Linked DNA regions of Elephas maximus indicus. The protein of the gene in region 1 purifies or fractionates together with the protein of each later gene. This does not show direct contact. Links are inferred from orthologs where the notes say so. Each region holds a gene or a part of one and is shown on either strand. Other genes may lie near its edges.

The links. The genes of interacting proteins can lie anywhere in the genome.
Region 2: the proteins of IFT57 (region 1) and IFT172 purify together in Homo sapiens (affinity purification with mass spectrometry; 3 studies listed by BioGRID and IntAct, counting the BioPlex papers as one, with this or other methods). This does not show direct contact. The link is inferred for Elephas maximus indicus from reciprocal best matches to the Homo sapiens genes IFT57 and IFT172.

Annotation. Positions count from the first base shown.
Region 1 is NC_064836.1:80,387,013-80,394,060, reverse strand, and holds the start of IFT57 (intraflagellar transport protein 57 homolog), read left to right. Parts: upstream 1-4,043; 5' UTR 4,044-4,504; coding exon 4,505-4,851; intron 4,852-7,048. UniProt on the Homo sapiens protein: Required for the formation of cilia. Plays an indirect role in sonic hedgehog signaling, cilia being required for all activity of the hedgehog pathway.
Region 2 is NC_064830.1:45,974,228-45,982,027, reverse strand, and holds the start of IFT172 (intraflagellar transport protein 172 homolog), read left to right. Parts: upstream 1-4,876; 5' UTR 4,877-4,896; coding exon 4,897-5,346; intron 5,347-5,610; coding exon 5,611-5,676; intron 5,677-5,875; coding exon 5,876-5,955; intron 5,956-6,181; coding exon 6,182-6,269; intron 6,270-7,113; coding exon 7,114-7,328; intron 7,329-7,800. UniProt on the Homo sapiens protein: Required for the maintenance and formation of cilia. Plays an indirect role in hedgehog (Hh) signaling, cilia being required for all activity of the hedgehog pathway.

The DNA.
Region 1 (7,048 bases):
CTCAAGCTTCGTTAAAATTTGCATATGGATTTCAGGATGAACCCACTAGGAATTCAAGTTGAAATTCCACTGAGTTTATAGATTGGGCAAAGATATTGATTTTCTTTCCATGAACATTATACCCCTATTTAGATTTTTCCATGACTTTCAATAAAGTTTAGTAATTTCTCCACAAAGATAATGATAGATTTACTCTTAGGTACTATATATGGTTTGTTATTGAGAGTTGTTTTCTTTCTTTTTTCCTAACTACTATTTCTAATAACTTTTCTTTAATTTGGATATCACATACAGCAATCTTGCTGTGCTGTCTTAGTAGCCTGTCTGCAGATTCTCTTGGATATTTTACTTAGTCAATCATATCAACTGCAATAGTTTTTTTTTCTTTTGTAATACCCCTATTTTTTAATTTTTTTTTTGTCTCTGTACACCGACTCTGATCTCTAGTACAGTTTTGAATTCAGAATGAATGTCTTCACCTTGATCTCAGCTCTAGAAGTCATGGCATCTAATGCGTCATATTTAAATATGACTTTTTTCCCCTAGATTTTTAGCAGACATTTTTTATTAGATTAGAGAAGCATTATTCAGTTAGTGGTTTTCTAAGTTTTTAAAGCCATGAATGAGTGGTACTAAGCCACTTTATAACACAAAGCAGCTTGGTTCTTTAAGCCTGCCCACTTTTCTTGGAGGACTTGTTCTTATATTTGGAGATGCAGCTTGAAAGCCTTCTTCAGTCTTTGAACCCATCTCCTTTTCGCCTCCAGCCTTGCTAAGTACTTTCAGAGAAATCTATTTAGCTTAAATAAACTTTCATCGGAATGCTGTTCAGTCAACTTTGAATGAGAAGTTATTCCATTTTCAGAGATTAGGCCATTCACTGGAAGACACTGAGGGCCTCAAAATCACCTCTGGTCATCTTATAGATAGTTTGCAAAAGATCAAAGTCAAAAGCCCAGCTATGAACTGTGGTAACACAGTAGAGCCAGGGATAAATCTCTCTTAAGATCCTTTAAAGGCAGCATGAACATACTTCGACATTACATTCTCTTCAAGTCCTCACTCCTTTGTCAATGCATTTCAGAGCCAGTCCTGTAAAAAAAAAAAAAAAAAAAAAACTAACACAAAGGTACTCAAAAGTTTCCAAGTGGCTCAGACAGGATTTGAGTGTGGGTTTGCTCACATACGTGAAGGATACTACTTCCATCAAGGAAAAGACCTTTTGGTGTGTTATCGACTATTTATTGTGGGTAACTAAGGAATCAGGAAAAATTACTCCTGAGACTTATAAAAATAAAATGACATTTTACTGTTCTTCCCCACATTTTTGCTGTGGGAAAACACAGTGTTCAAAAGTTGGCTTTTCTTTTATTTCTTTCATTCTCTCTGTGCTCCCACAGTTACTGAAAAAGCAAACCAAACCCATTGCCATCGAATCAATTCAGACTCATAGCAACCTTATAGGACAGAGTAGAACTGCCCTATAGGGTTTCCAAGGAGCAGCTGGTGGATCTGAACTGCTGGCCTTTTGTTTAACAGCCAAGCTCTTAACCAGTGCACCACCAGGGCTCCACTACAGTTATTGGGGACATTTTGTTTTAGTGTTGTTGCTTTTTTTCTTTTTAAGACTAAATTAAAAAGGGAAGAATAATTCTTCAAACAGCTTTCAAGCCAGGCTAAGTCAATATTGTACCTGAGAAGGAAACAGCTAGGTTCTAGGAGAGTCTCCCCACCCCATGAAAGTACATTCATCATTTTTGGAGAGTTCTCATCAGCCAAAAAGCAATGCTTGACTACTTCACACTACATGCTATACAAGTCCTGAAAACATCAGAGCATCTTATGCAGGCATCATGCTCCAGGTGGACATCCATTTTCCTAGGTGTAACCTATTTACCGTTTGACTTCTGACACCTTTTTCAAAGTCATTTTAAAAGCCACAGGCTGCTTGACCGAACACCCCAAAGTATGTATCTCAGCTTTTACTGATTTCTTTTTCATCCTAAAAAGCTATATCCAGCTGTTTTGTGCTCTGAAAGTTATACACGCATACCACAACACACTACACTTCCCAAACATGTGGTAGTGGGGATGTATGGGGAAGAATCACTCCTTCCACAGGGCTAAGAAAAAGAAAGACCAGTTTGACAGTGGGATAGAGTCAAACCCAACTTTCGTGCTTATTTTTATTTTAAAAAAGCTGATTAATGACTCATCATGGAAACAATGTTATTTAAAAAGCATTTCTCAGTTGGCCTTCCCTTTTGAGTTACTTTCTACATAGGTCAGTTTTATGGTGTTTTTTTTTTTTTTTCTTTTCCTCTTTGTATTTCCTCTCTTTCGTAACTAGGAAAAGGTATTTGCCTTTATGATTTTTCACTTTGATACTTTTATCAGTATCAAATTCGTGAGCTCTAGATGGATATTAAAATGAAAGTGCTCTTCTGCTCATTTCGTCTACCAACAACAATTACAGGCACATTTAAAACTTCAGCTATGTCAAAAAGTGCGACTCTTCTATATATTCACTGGCAGATACAAGAGATCAGAGATCCCTCACATTAAACACAAAACTCGTGTTCAATCTGGTAAGTTTTCATCCCTCAGGAAACCTCCGGGCATCTACCAATTACCTCATACTTTCGGTGACCCATTAAAAACCCATTGCCATCAAGTCAATTCTGACTCATAGCGACCCTATAGGACAGCTGTTAGGAAAGCTGCTCCATACACAGGCTGCCGAGCACTGGAAAGCCGGTCCATATAGTGGTCAGTTAGTCCCCTTTCTTGCATGTATATTTTAGGTCAATAGCAAGTAACAAGTACCACCTGGTCTTTAGCCGCATTTAGCGCTATAACCAAAAAACCAAACCCGTTGCAGTGGAGTGGATTCCGACCCTACAGGACAGGGTAGAACGGCCCCATAGAGTTTCCAAAGAGCGCCTGGCAGATTTGAACCGCCGACCTTTACATTAGCAGCCGTCGCACTGAACCACTACGCCACCAGGGCTCCCTTTAAGACTACAGCGCAGGGAGATTCTTGCAAGATAATCTCCTTTATTTTGTTGGTGTTGACAAGGTACCCCAAAGCTGCATGCTGCATGTAATGGGCTTAAACCACTGGGCAGCGGGCTGAGCGGAGCGTGGTTTTGGGAGCAGAACGAACGCTCCCGAGGTCCCCGTTTTGCTCGTCGTCTCGGTCTGTCCTCTTCCACCGCCTCCCCAGCAAGCCCCTTCCGAGCACTCGGGTGGCGATGGGCCTTTCGTCACGTATTATAACACGCCGTTAAATCAAATAAACCACTGCCTCACAAGGTAGAGGTTAAGTTTTTTAAGAAGACTCTCTCTTTGAAAATTCCTGCGATAAAGTGAAACCTACAATATCGACTGCCTTGAAAACTTTCAATATTGAGAAGAAAAAAAAAAATCAGCGGGATAGCGAAGTTATCAACACTAAGCCTCTCGGTCTCCCTTTCATCTTGCCCACCAGCAGGCCCAGGCGCCGGCCCCGCGGCCCTTAGCAACCAGCCGGGCACGAAGCCCCGCCCCCAGGGAGGCTGAGACTCAGGAACGCGGGCGGCCCTTAGCAACCAGCCGGGCACGAAGCCCCGCCCCCGGAGAGGCTGAGACTCAGGAACGCGGGCGGCCCTTAGCAACCAGCCGGGCACGAAGCCCCGCCCCCGGGGAGGCTGAGACTCAGGAATGCGGGCCAACCTTAGCAACCAGCCGGGCACGAAGCCCCGCCCCCGGGGAGGCTGAGACTCAGGAACGCCGGCGGTCCTTAGCAACCAGCCGGGCACGAAGCCCCGCCCCCGGGGAGGCTGAGACTCAGGAATGCGGGCCAACCTTAGCAACCAGCCGGGCACGAAGCCCCGCCCCCGGGGAGGCTGAGACTCAGGAACGCCGGCGGTCCTTAGCAACCAGCCGGGCACGAAGCACCGCCCCCGGGGAGGCTGAGACTCAGGAACGCAGGCGGCCCTTAGCAACCAGCCGGGCACGAAGCACCGCCCCCGGGGAGGCTGAGACTCAGGAACGCGGGCCGCCCTTAGCAACCAGCCGGGCAAGCCGGGGCCCCCCCGCCAGGGGAGGCTGAGACTCAGGAACGCGGGCGGCCCCGCCCCCTGAGAGGCCGAGAGGAACGCGGGCGGCCCTTTGCAACCAGTCGGGCAAGCGGCCCCGCCCCCGGAGAGGCTGAGACTCAGGAACACGGGCGGCCCCGCCCCCGGAGAGGCTGAAAGGAACGCGGGCGGCCCTTAGCAAACAGCCGGGCAAGAAGCCCCGCCCCCGGGGAGGCTGAGACGAACGCGGGCGGCCCCGCCCCGCCTTTAAGCCGCCGCGGGAAGAGGCGCGGCCGGACGTGGGGCACGGAACGCCACGCCTCCAGGGGCGGGGCTGCCTCCGAGCCACCTCCTCCCTGCCGTCGGAGGGGCGGGGTCCGTGGTGACGTCACCTGGAAGGCCCGCCCCGGTTGGAGGGAATTTAGAAGTGACGCGGAGGTTCCGGGATGGAGGCGGAGTCTAGTTTCCCTGGTGACGAGTTGCCCGATGGTCGCCTAGCAACGGGAGGCGGCGGTCCTGGCGGCCGCTGCGCGGGCGGCGGAGGCCGGAGCCCTCGCCGGAGTCTCTCTGTCTGTCCTGCGATGGCTGCCGCCGCCGCGGTGGTCACGCCGTCGGGCCTGGAGGACGGGGTATCTCGGCCTTGCGGCGAAGGAGCCGGAGAGGTGGCCGTGGAGCGCGGGCCCGGCGCGGCCTACCACATGTTCGTGGTGATGGAGGACCTGCTGGAGAAGCTGAAGCTGCTCCGCTATGAGGAGGAAGTCCTGCGGAAGGACAGCCTGAAGCCCCCGTCCAGGTGGGTCCCTTCGCCCCGGGCGCCTGGGTGCCGGCCGGGCCCCGGGGAGGTGCCTTCCCCGTCGGGCCTGCTTCGGGCGCCGAGCGGGTCCGCGAGCCCTGCCTCCACCTTCCGGCCGGAGCGCGCGCGGGCAGTCACCCCGAAGCTGGCGGCCGAGGGCCCCGACTTGGCATTTTTGTGGAGCAACAGGTTTGGGAGCGGCAGGAAGGACTGGGAGACAGCCTTCCTGTTTAAAACATACACAGGCACCTCCAAAAAACGCAGGCTGTGTTTTACGGTTCTAAAAGGAATAAAAACATCCACTCTAGATAACTTAGAAAAGCACAAGAAACTGTGTGTAGAAAAATACTAAAATCACCCATAGTGTCGTCCCCAGAGACGGGTGCTGTTACCGTTCCGATCTCTGTCCAGTATTTGTTGTCCTCTCTGAGAACCGGCCCCTCCTACTACCTTGCTGAGCACTTTGTTTGCAGTTAGTGAGCTTGTTGACTGACTGCTGTGGTACTCTCAGAAACCGAAAGTGGGAAAGACAAAGAAAACGACAACCCCTGGAATTGTCCCCGTACCCTAGAACCTAAAGTTCAGCCCTTACTCTTGGTGGGCAAAGTTCGTCACATCCTGAAGGCAGTGCCGTTAGCTGCTGAAGGGAACGGACGGGAGCACTTTATCCTCCAATCGGGGTAGCCTGGCTGTGGCCCGACAAGAACGTTTTATAGCTTTGTCATCACGTTAGAGCTCACAGGTGTTTATCTTGTTGTATAACAGGTAGATTAGGAATCTTTAGCACTTCCTCTTAATACCTATAGGTAAACTCAAATAATTTCCCTTGACAGTTTCCATCTCATTCTTCTGCTCTCTTAGGACGCTTAATCCCCTTGACTGCACGGCAAGTGCTTTTCTTGGTTCATGCTAGGTAGGCTGGATGGGTACTGTCGATATTGCTAAGTCAGCTCTTAACGGCAGAAAAGTAGAGGGAAAAGAAGCAGTGTTGCTTGATCTATGATTTAAATTGTGGGATTGGGAGTTACTAGAATGAATTGATCAGGTTAATATAGACAGCTTATATTTTCTGTTAATCAAAATGATAACTTTTTTTTTTCCAAGTATATTTTTGAAGCTAAAGGAAAATGACCTCAAGATTTCTGTTGCTGTCAGCTCTGTACGGTTTCCTCAGGGGTTCAGCAGGATACTTTGAATCATGGATCCAAGCGGAGATACCCTAGTTCAGTGGCTCTAAAGTGAGGCCACCAGACCAGCAGCATCAGTCTCACTTGGGAACTTACTAGAAACGCACTTTCTCAGACCTGTTCCCAAGTCTACGGCATCAGAAATTCCGGCGGTGGCACCTAGCGGTCTGTTTTAACAAGCCTTCCAGGTCGTCCTGGTGTACACTTAAGTCTGAGAACCACTGACCTAGGCCTATCAGTACCTATTCTCTGTCCTCGAGGGATTATCCTGTAAGGAAAAGATGAGTTGTTGGTGGGTGGGTGCTTTGAAAGGGTTGTAAACACATACCTGGAAGGGCTTCATGCCCCCCCCCCCCCGCCCCGCTGCCCGGCTTTTTTTTTTTTCTCAACTATATGTTACCATTCAGAGCATTTACACCTATCGCAGGACAAAAAGTTGGGGAAACATGAAGAAGCAGGCTGCTGATTGTTATGAAAAGTGGCAATGATAACTATGATATAAACATAATAGTAATAGCTACAAATAAAAAAAGCAAATTAAGATTTTTGATCAAACTGACTCAAATGTTGTTGCTAACATGTTTTGTTCCACACATATTTAGGTGTAAATTATATTGATCTTCGTAGGACTGTTTTCAGTCGGCTAGGAGATTTAGCAAATTTCAACAAATGTTTGTTAGAGTGAGAATGAACTTCTTAAGCCTCTCTGTACCTTAGAACCATCTAGCGAGCTTTTAAAATACTGGGGCTCTGCTCCCAAAAGCTCTGATTTGATGCATTGATGAGGGAAGAGGCAATGTTTGGATGGGCATCAATATTTTTTATGGTCTCCTCAGGTGATTCAAAGGAGCCCAGTAGCACAGTGGTTAAGCACTCACTTGCTAACTGAAAGGTTGGAGGTTCAAACCACCAGCTGCTCCACGGAAGAAAGATGTGGCAGTCTGCTTCCATAAAGATTACAGCCTTGGAAACCCTATGGGGCAGTTCTCTTCTGTGTTGTAGGGTCGCTA
Region 2 (7,800 bases), on another chromosome or scaffold:
GGCCAGTAGCCTTTTTATCTTCACTACCCATGTTGGCAGCCCAACTCCTCACCATTCATTCTTCTGCCTCTTCATCAAACGTGGACAGAAATGGGACTGAGCAGTATCTTGGGAACTAATGAAAGAGCAGCTGTACAAATGGATCTCTTGGTGCCATGTGCTTCTCTCTGTGGATCCCTGCCCCTCTGTTTCCCTGCCTTCGTAAACTTGTGTCTCTGTCTCTGTTCAGTTGGTCAAAGTCACTAATAATAATTGTGAAGTGTAAATGAGTTTATATTCAGGCTCTGCCACTTTGTCCACAAGAGAATTCTGGAAATAAAACTGAGGGGTTTGGACTCCCCTGTGAAAATAATTCTAATTTGGGCTCTGACCCTCTGGGGCCTACTTGTTTCCTGTGAAAATAGAGACTGTCCTCGACTCTCTCCTAATTTCCAAGGGGGCTTGGTGGCAGTGAAAGAAATAACCCGTTGACATTTGTAACCACTGTGGAGGAAAAGGTTTCAGGAGCCAGACTCTGTTTGGACAGCTTTTGGGACACTTTCCAGAGGGTTAAGGGTCTCCCAATTTGGGATCATTCCAGAGGAGGTTTTATGAGTAATTCTCCTTTTCCGCCTCTGTCTCTCTAGTGTTACAAGAAATTAGACCAGTAATTCTGGAAAGGACTCTAGCTACACAATCCTAAAATTAAGAAGTCGCTATCTTTTTCTACTTAACCAAGCTTTAACTTCAGGTATCCCAAGACTTAACCTATCAGGTGAGCCAAGCTCTGGTGTGCCCTCCACCCTGAGCCATAAAGGCATCCTGATCTAAGGAGCAGTCTTCAATTCTCTGTCTCCCTATTTGGAAGTAAGACACTTACTTCTGCCTGGCCACCGGTTCCAGAACACTCTCCAGAAGACTGTGGACATAACATAATTTCTTGGGATAGGAGTGTTACAGGCTATAGTGGCATGGCATGGAAATAGGGAGCTAGGACTTGAGCCGGAATGTAAAGGATATTTAAATCCACCAGCTGTGGGTTGAATCCCCAGTTCAGTCCTTTCCTGGCTATGTTAGCTTGGAAAAGTGACACCCCTAATCCCGAGTTCCTGTTATGTAAAATGGGAATAGTGGTATTATCCCCTTCAAAACGTGGTTTTGAGATTAAATGAGGTAATGCATATAAAACACTTGGCATAGTACCTGGCAGACACATACTTAGTATTCACTGTTAACTACCATCTTTATTAGCCTTGTGATCCCGTGCAAGTCATATAACCTATTTGAGTTCAATAACGTCAACTATGAAAGGCATATAATAGAAACTGCCTTGCTTTCCTTCTGGGTTGTGAGGAGCAGAAGGGAACGCACTCAGCCGCGCGCAGTGCCCGTCAAAGAACGGGAAAAACTACGATTACGTAGGAGCCAGAGTTCGCGAAGCCTTGTGGGCGTGGCTTGGTCTTGTAGGTTGCAAGCCGTGACGGGATTGGTCAAGGAGAGGGTTCATCACGCCCCCTCGCGGGCCGGCCCCAGACCTCATTGCGCTTGCGCACGTTCTATGTTTTCGCGACGAACCTACGTGTTGACCTTGCGACGGGTGTTACGCTCTGGTCGCGTCTCCGTCAGCGGCTGTAGCTGCGGCTGCGTGGCGGGTTGTCCAGGTAACCGCAGGGGTTGTCGCTGTCTGGTGGCATCTGAGAGACAGGTGTTCGTCATGCAGCTGAAGCACCTGAGGACCCTGCTGAGCCCTCAGGTGAGGAGTTGTGCGCCTTTTTCTTATGCCGCCGCTTTAAGATCCTAGAAAAGTGGGGGAAGTGAAGTTTAAGGATGTTGAGCTCCTACTGTGTGCATAAGACTATGAAGGGTATAAGGATGATTCGAACTCTGCTCTGTCGATAGTATTCAGTAGGAGCTTGCGTACGAGGCCCCCGTGCTGGGCCTGTTAAAAAAAAAAAAACCGAAGTTATTCTTCCTAACTTCAAAAGGCTCATACACAGGGAGAGGTGCACATGTAAACAGCGAACATAAATCTGCACAAAATTAAACAAGCGCGATATAGAGGGAGTGCAGAAAATTGAACGGTACGTTCCAATGGGGAAGATCTCAGGATTCAGAGAAGTCAGGGCACTAGCGGAGGAACCCTGAAACCTGGTGGTAAGAAGCTGGGTTTGAGGGTTAGGAAACCCGACATCAAGTCCCAGTTCCACCGCCTTTTTAAACAACTTGATCACTCTGACTTTAGTTCTTACTGCATAATTGCTCTGAGCACTCACCCAGCTTCTTTATTTGGCAAATGGGACTAATAATAATAGCAGTCGTAGGAGATTTGGGGGAGAATTAATTGAAGAACTTTGCAAACTAAAAAGCAGTGTGAAAATTGATAGACAAAAAAGGAAGGACATCCAAATTGAATGGACAAAATAATGCTCAGCTAATAAGATTAATATCTGCCATTGTTGTTAGGTGCCATCCAGTCAGTTTCGACTCATAGAGTGACTCTGTGTACAACAGAACAAAATACTGCTGGGTCCTGTGCCATCTTCACGATCATTGTTATGCTTGAGCCCATCCTTGCCTCCACTGTGTCAATTAATCTCGTTGAGGGCCTTCCTCTTTTTCACTGACCCTCTACTTTAGCAAGCATGATGTCTTTCTCCAGGGACTGGTCCCTCTTGATAACATGTCCAAAGTTATCTGCCATTACTGAGTGCTTATTATGTACCAGGGCAGCATCAGTAAAGAAGTTAGAATTGTGGTCTGTGGAATTAGACATACATGGATTTAAATCTTGCTTCTGCCGTTTAATAACCTTGGGCAAATTACTTGACCTTTTTGCCTCAGTTTCTCCACCTATAAAAGGGGATAATAATAGCACCTATCCCAGAGATACAGGTTAAATGAGATAATGCATGTCAAGCACTTAGCAAAATACCCAGTCATGCTAAGTACTTGTTAAAAGTTAGTTGTTATTATTATTCTATCCCGTACCTCATTTAATCCTCGCGAAAGTTCTGTGGGGTACAGACTGCAGAGAAAGGAGAATTAATTGATTATGGAAATCAGGAAAGCTTCACAGAGGATGTGGCATTTAGAGACTACAAGGAAATTAGAACAAAAGAGAGATGTGCTCATTTCTCAGTAAACTGCACCCTGAATCTGTAATTAAAAAATTCCTTTACCCTAATGGAACAACTGGAAATGAAATTGTCCTTAATCTTTCAAAATAAGATGATGTCATGATGCAGCGTAGGCTGAATGCCCAGGATTGGGCAAAATGCTGAAGCAGGACTATCAGCAAAAGTTGTTGAGGAGCCCTCAGCCCTTCTAACCTAATGTAATCAAGAGTTGAAGAATGGTAATGGTGGTGGTGTGACTATTTTCTGACTCTGTTTTGAAGATTTTGATGAAAAGAACCTTAAACTTCTGACTCTGGAAGTTGGCAATAAAGGGGAAGATAGCAGTATGTTAAGCCAGTGCTGTGCAGCCAATTAATCACAGAATTAGAGCAAAAGGTAAAAAAAAAAAAAAATAAAAAAAGTTTTAAAGGAGGGAAATCCTTAGTGGCAGAACCACAGAGGACTAGGGCTGGTGGTGGGAAGAACAGACATGATGTGAATAATTCATTGGGCTCCTGGGAAGTGAATAGTTTAAAAAAAGTGGCATTGTCCATCCTAAGCCTCAATTATGGTTATTTTACTCCCCACTCCAGAAATTTTCACTCTCTGCTTCTTTCCTGCCAAATAAGCCCTAGTTTTCCTGTTTTACCTCCTGTATTCTCCTATTTACAGCACAGTTTCAGCTAAACTAAATTACTGCTTCTTGACTAGAACTTGCTTTTGCTGATGCTCAGATAATTTCTCCCACTCAACTGCATCCATTCTTCAATGGTAATTGATCAGTTAAATATAAAATTATCTCAGACTTAACCCAAAATATTATAGCGTTTTATATGTACCTCTTGTGGGTCTTTTCCTGTTCGCACCATCTTAGTAGATCCTAAACCCTTTAAGGGTGGGGATGATGTTTTGCTCTTTATATCCCACTCAGCCCCTAGCCAAGTGCCTCTCTCAGTAAGGTGCTCAAAAAATATTAATTGAATGGCTAAAGATCAAAACTTATCAGGCCAATTGATTTATTTCAATAGTCGAGGAAACAAGAAGGCCACTGCAGAGACGCCTTGGTACAGTTGAACCATCACCTCTTAGTGCATTTGCATTATGGGCCACTGGAAGCATTCTCTTCTCTCAGTCCAGTGTCTGATGGCCTTGGAGACCAGGATGGGCTGCAGGTTTCTCTCTGTTTTATGGAAGGACCACGGCAGGAAGAAGATTGGCGAAGTCACACCAGAAGTAATGGAACTAGGAATATTTCTGGCATTCTAGACCGGTACCTGGGTTTACTTTTTTTCCCTTTGCCTCTGCAGGATGGTGCTGCAAAGGTCACCTGCATGGCCTGGTCCCAGAACAATGCCAAATTTGCTGTTTGTACAGTGGACCGAGTGGTGTTGCTCTATGATGAACATGGGGAGCGGAGAGATAAATTCTCCACCAAGCCAGCTGACATGAAGGTGAAGAGAGTACTCCTGTGTACCTTAACCTGTTGATGGGACCTCTCAAACCTGGAAAACTTCCTAACCCACTTCCTAGCCCTGGGCATAGGAAATGGCCCACCCCTCCTCTTCCAGGATACTTCCCTCAACCCCACTGTAGTCACACATGCACCATTTCTTCTCCTTTCTCTATAATGTACACTCATTACTTTTTTTTTTTTTTTTTGACTCTTAGTATGGCAGGAAGAGCTATATGGTGAAGGGCATGGCTTTTTCTCCTGATTCCACTAAAATTGCCATAGGACAGACTGACAACATCATCTATGTCTACAAGATTGGAGAAGATTGGTGAGGCTAGAGACTGAGAGATGGGGTGGCTAAGAAAAGAAGGGGAAGGCAAGAGAAATGCCTCACTGGGGAGGAGGAATAGAGAGGATGAGAAGCCAGGCTTGGGCGTGGAAGGCCGAGACTTTCTGCAGTCTACTGTGTTGCTTCTCTGCCGTTGCCTGTCCCACATGTTCTGCAGTTCCGTCCCTGGAGGAATCAGTCTAAGATCAACAAGGAGGCCCTGTGAGATCCTGGGGAGCCCAAAGTGGTGTTGTGTCTTTGTTATTGTTCTAGAGCTCTTATGTGTCCTTTCAGGGTTCCTACAGAATGGTAGGAAACACTTGTGGGCCAGGGAAGGTATCTCGCCTTTCTTCCCTTACCCCAGCATCATATTTGGGAATTCCTTTATGGAAGTGGTTTTTAACATGCTTTCCTCCCTTTTATCTGGCAGGGGTGACAAGAAAGTCATCTGCAACAAGTTCATCCAGACGGTAAAGTGCAGACCAATCCCTGGAGATTAGGGTGAACAAACACGTGTCAATATATCTGCTTACCCAAGTGTTGCATTTTCTGTCTGTGTCTGACTTTTCATATGGCAAGGATGGTGGTGACTGGCTGCTCTTCCTATTCTGCTTTCCTCCTCAGAGGCCAGTTGAGGAGACTAGGGTGGTGCATGTGGTGAGGTAGTTCAGGGGGTTAGAAATATGCTAGTCCACACAAACAGGGTTATCCTTTTTACTATTTCTTTCATACAGAGTGCTGTTACTTGTCTGCAGTGGCCAGCAGAGTACATCATTGTCTTTGGACTGGCCGAGGGGAAGGTAAAAAAGGGAAGGAAACACAGGAGAGGTAACGGGTAGGGCAATAGTTTTGGAAAGTAGTTAATCATCTCCCTTAGGGTCAAGTTGTGTACTGGGAGAGCGTACACAGGGACCTGTTTTGTTTTGTTTTTCTTTTCCCAGGGCCTAAATGATATTGAAAGTAGCCTAACCAGCCTTGTGTCCATTTTTTCATTTTCAGGTTCGTTTAGCAAACACTAAAACTAATAAATCGTCTACCATCTATGGGACAGATTCTTATGTGGTGTCATTGACAACAAAGTGAGTAAGGAAGAGTGGTATCACAAGAGCTTGGAAATACAAGAAAAAAGCTATAGGAAGTCTGGACTGGGAGATCATAGTGTGAAAGATGGGAGCGGGGAGGATTGGTAGCAGAAACCACAGTAGGGCAGCGTTTGGCAGAGAAAGAGGATTTCCCTAGTGAGACAGAATAATCACTTTCTTGTATTTCTCTCCTCTCCTCCTTTTCCCCTCTTGCTTTTTTTAGTTGCTCTGGGAAAGGAATTCTTTCTGGTCATGCAGATGGTACCATTGTTAGGTATTTTTTTGATGATGAAGGCTCTGGAGAGTCACAGGTATGAGTAAAGGATGTTCTGGGATAGGGGATGAGGAAATGCCAAGAGCCTGCCTCGAGGAGGTGGGCTATCTGAGGAATGTAGGCTGAGGTGCTGAGGGTAGGGAGGCTAGACGAGTGACATCTTGGGGAGGGCAGTGGGATGGGGCTGATTGGATGCAGCCACAGAGAGGACTTGTGTCTAGGAGGCCAGAGCTTAATATTCATGGGACGAGGTGACTCCAGCGGAAGAGACCTTGAGACAAAGGGAAATAAAGACTGTTAGGGGAATGAAAGGTGAAAACGATTCCAATTTATGTAAAATATATATTTATGTGTAGAAATTGATAGGAAAAAATTTAACAGTTTACTCTCGAGAGAAAAAAGGGAAAGGATAAGAGATAAAAGGGAACTTTTGTGTTTCATTCGGTATAATTCTCGTCTGAATAATTTACATTGAGACTTACTTGTGTAATAATTAGTTAAATTTAGCTCTCTTTAAAAAAGGAGCCATTTGCTCTCTGTGGGCCTAGACAGTGTTGGTTGATGTATAGGAAGTCTCCCTTTTGGGGGCCTTACTCGGTACAGATTAAAGATCTTCCAACACACAGGTATGTTGGCGTTTCCTCTAGAGCAGAAGGTCAGTAAATGTTATATATGACATATGTATATGTGACGTATACGTATTAGTATGAGACAGTTTGTGAAGCCTTCAGGAATTAGGATTAGGAATTAGGAAAACGTTGGGAGGAAAATTTCTGCAGGGTAGAATGGTGAGAGTGAGTGTGTGGGGTGCCAGGAATGAGGAATTTCCGAGGAACAGTCCTCAGAGTCAGAATGATTGAAACCCTCTACTTCTGTCTTAGGGGAAGTTGGTTAACCACCCATGCCCACCCTATGCCTTGGCTTGGGCAACGAACAGCATCGTGGCTGCAGGCTGCGATCGGAGGATTGTGGCCTATGGAAAGGAAGGCCATGTGCTACAAACTTTTGATTACAGCCGTGACCCTCAGGAGCGGGAGTTCACCACAGCTGCAGCAAGTCCTGGTGGCCAGTCTGTTGTGCTGGGGAGTTACGACAGGTGGAACAACTCGACTTACCAGTCGCATCTTCTTCGTGCTTTTCTTGTATACGCCCTGTGCTTTAGCGCAGTGGTCGTCAACCAGAGTGGGAGACTGAGTCAGAATCAAGTGTATGCTGTAAAAGATTCTCAGGAGATTTTAATTCACTTTTCTTTTCGTGCTCCTGTGGTCCGTTGGCCCATTGGCCCACTGGTAGTCCCAAAATGCACTGTGCTCTTGTTTTGTCTCTGTGCCTCTCCCTAGGATTCCACGGTAGAATTTATCACCACCTTCTTTGTGTTCCTGTTGCCCTCCTTAACAGACCACTGGCTTAGTGTTTATCACATTATGTTACAGTTTCAAGGTTGTGTCTGTCTGGGTAAATTGAAGAGTCTTTGAGAAGAGAGCTATCATTCAATTTTTTATCTCGAGATTAGTACCTGGTATATAATATATACGCACATTTTTGGTGAATGAATGAATGAGTGATAC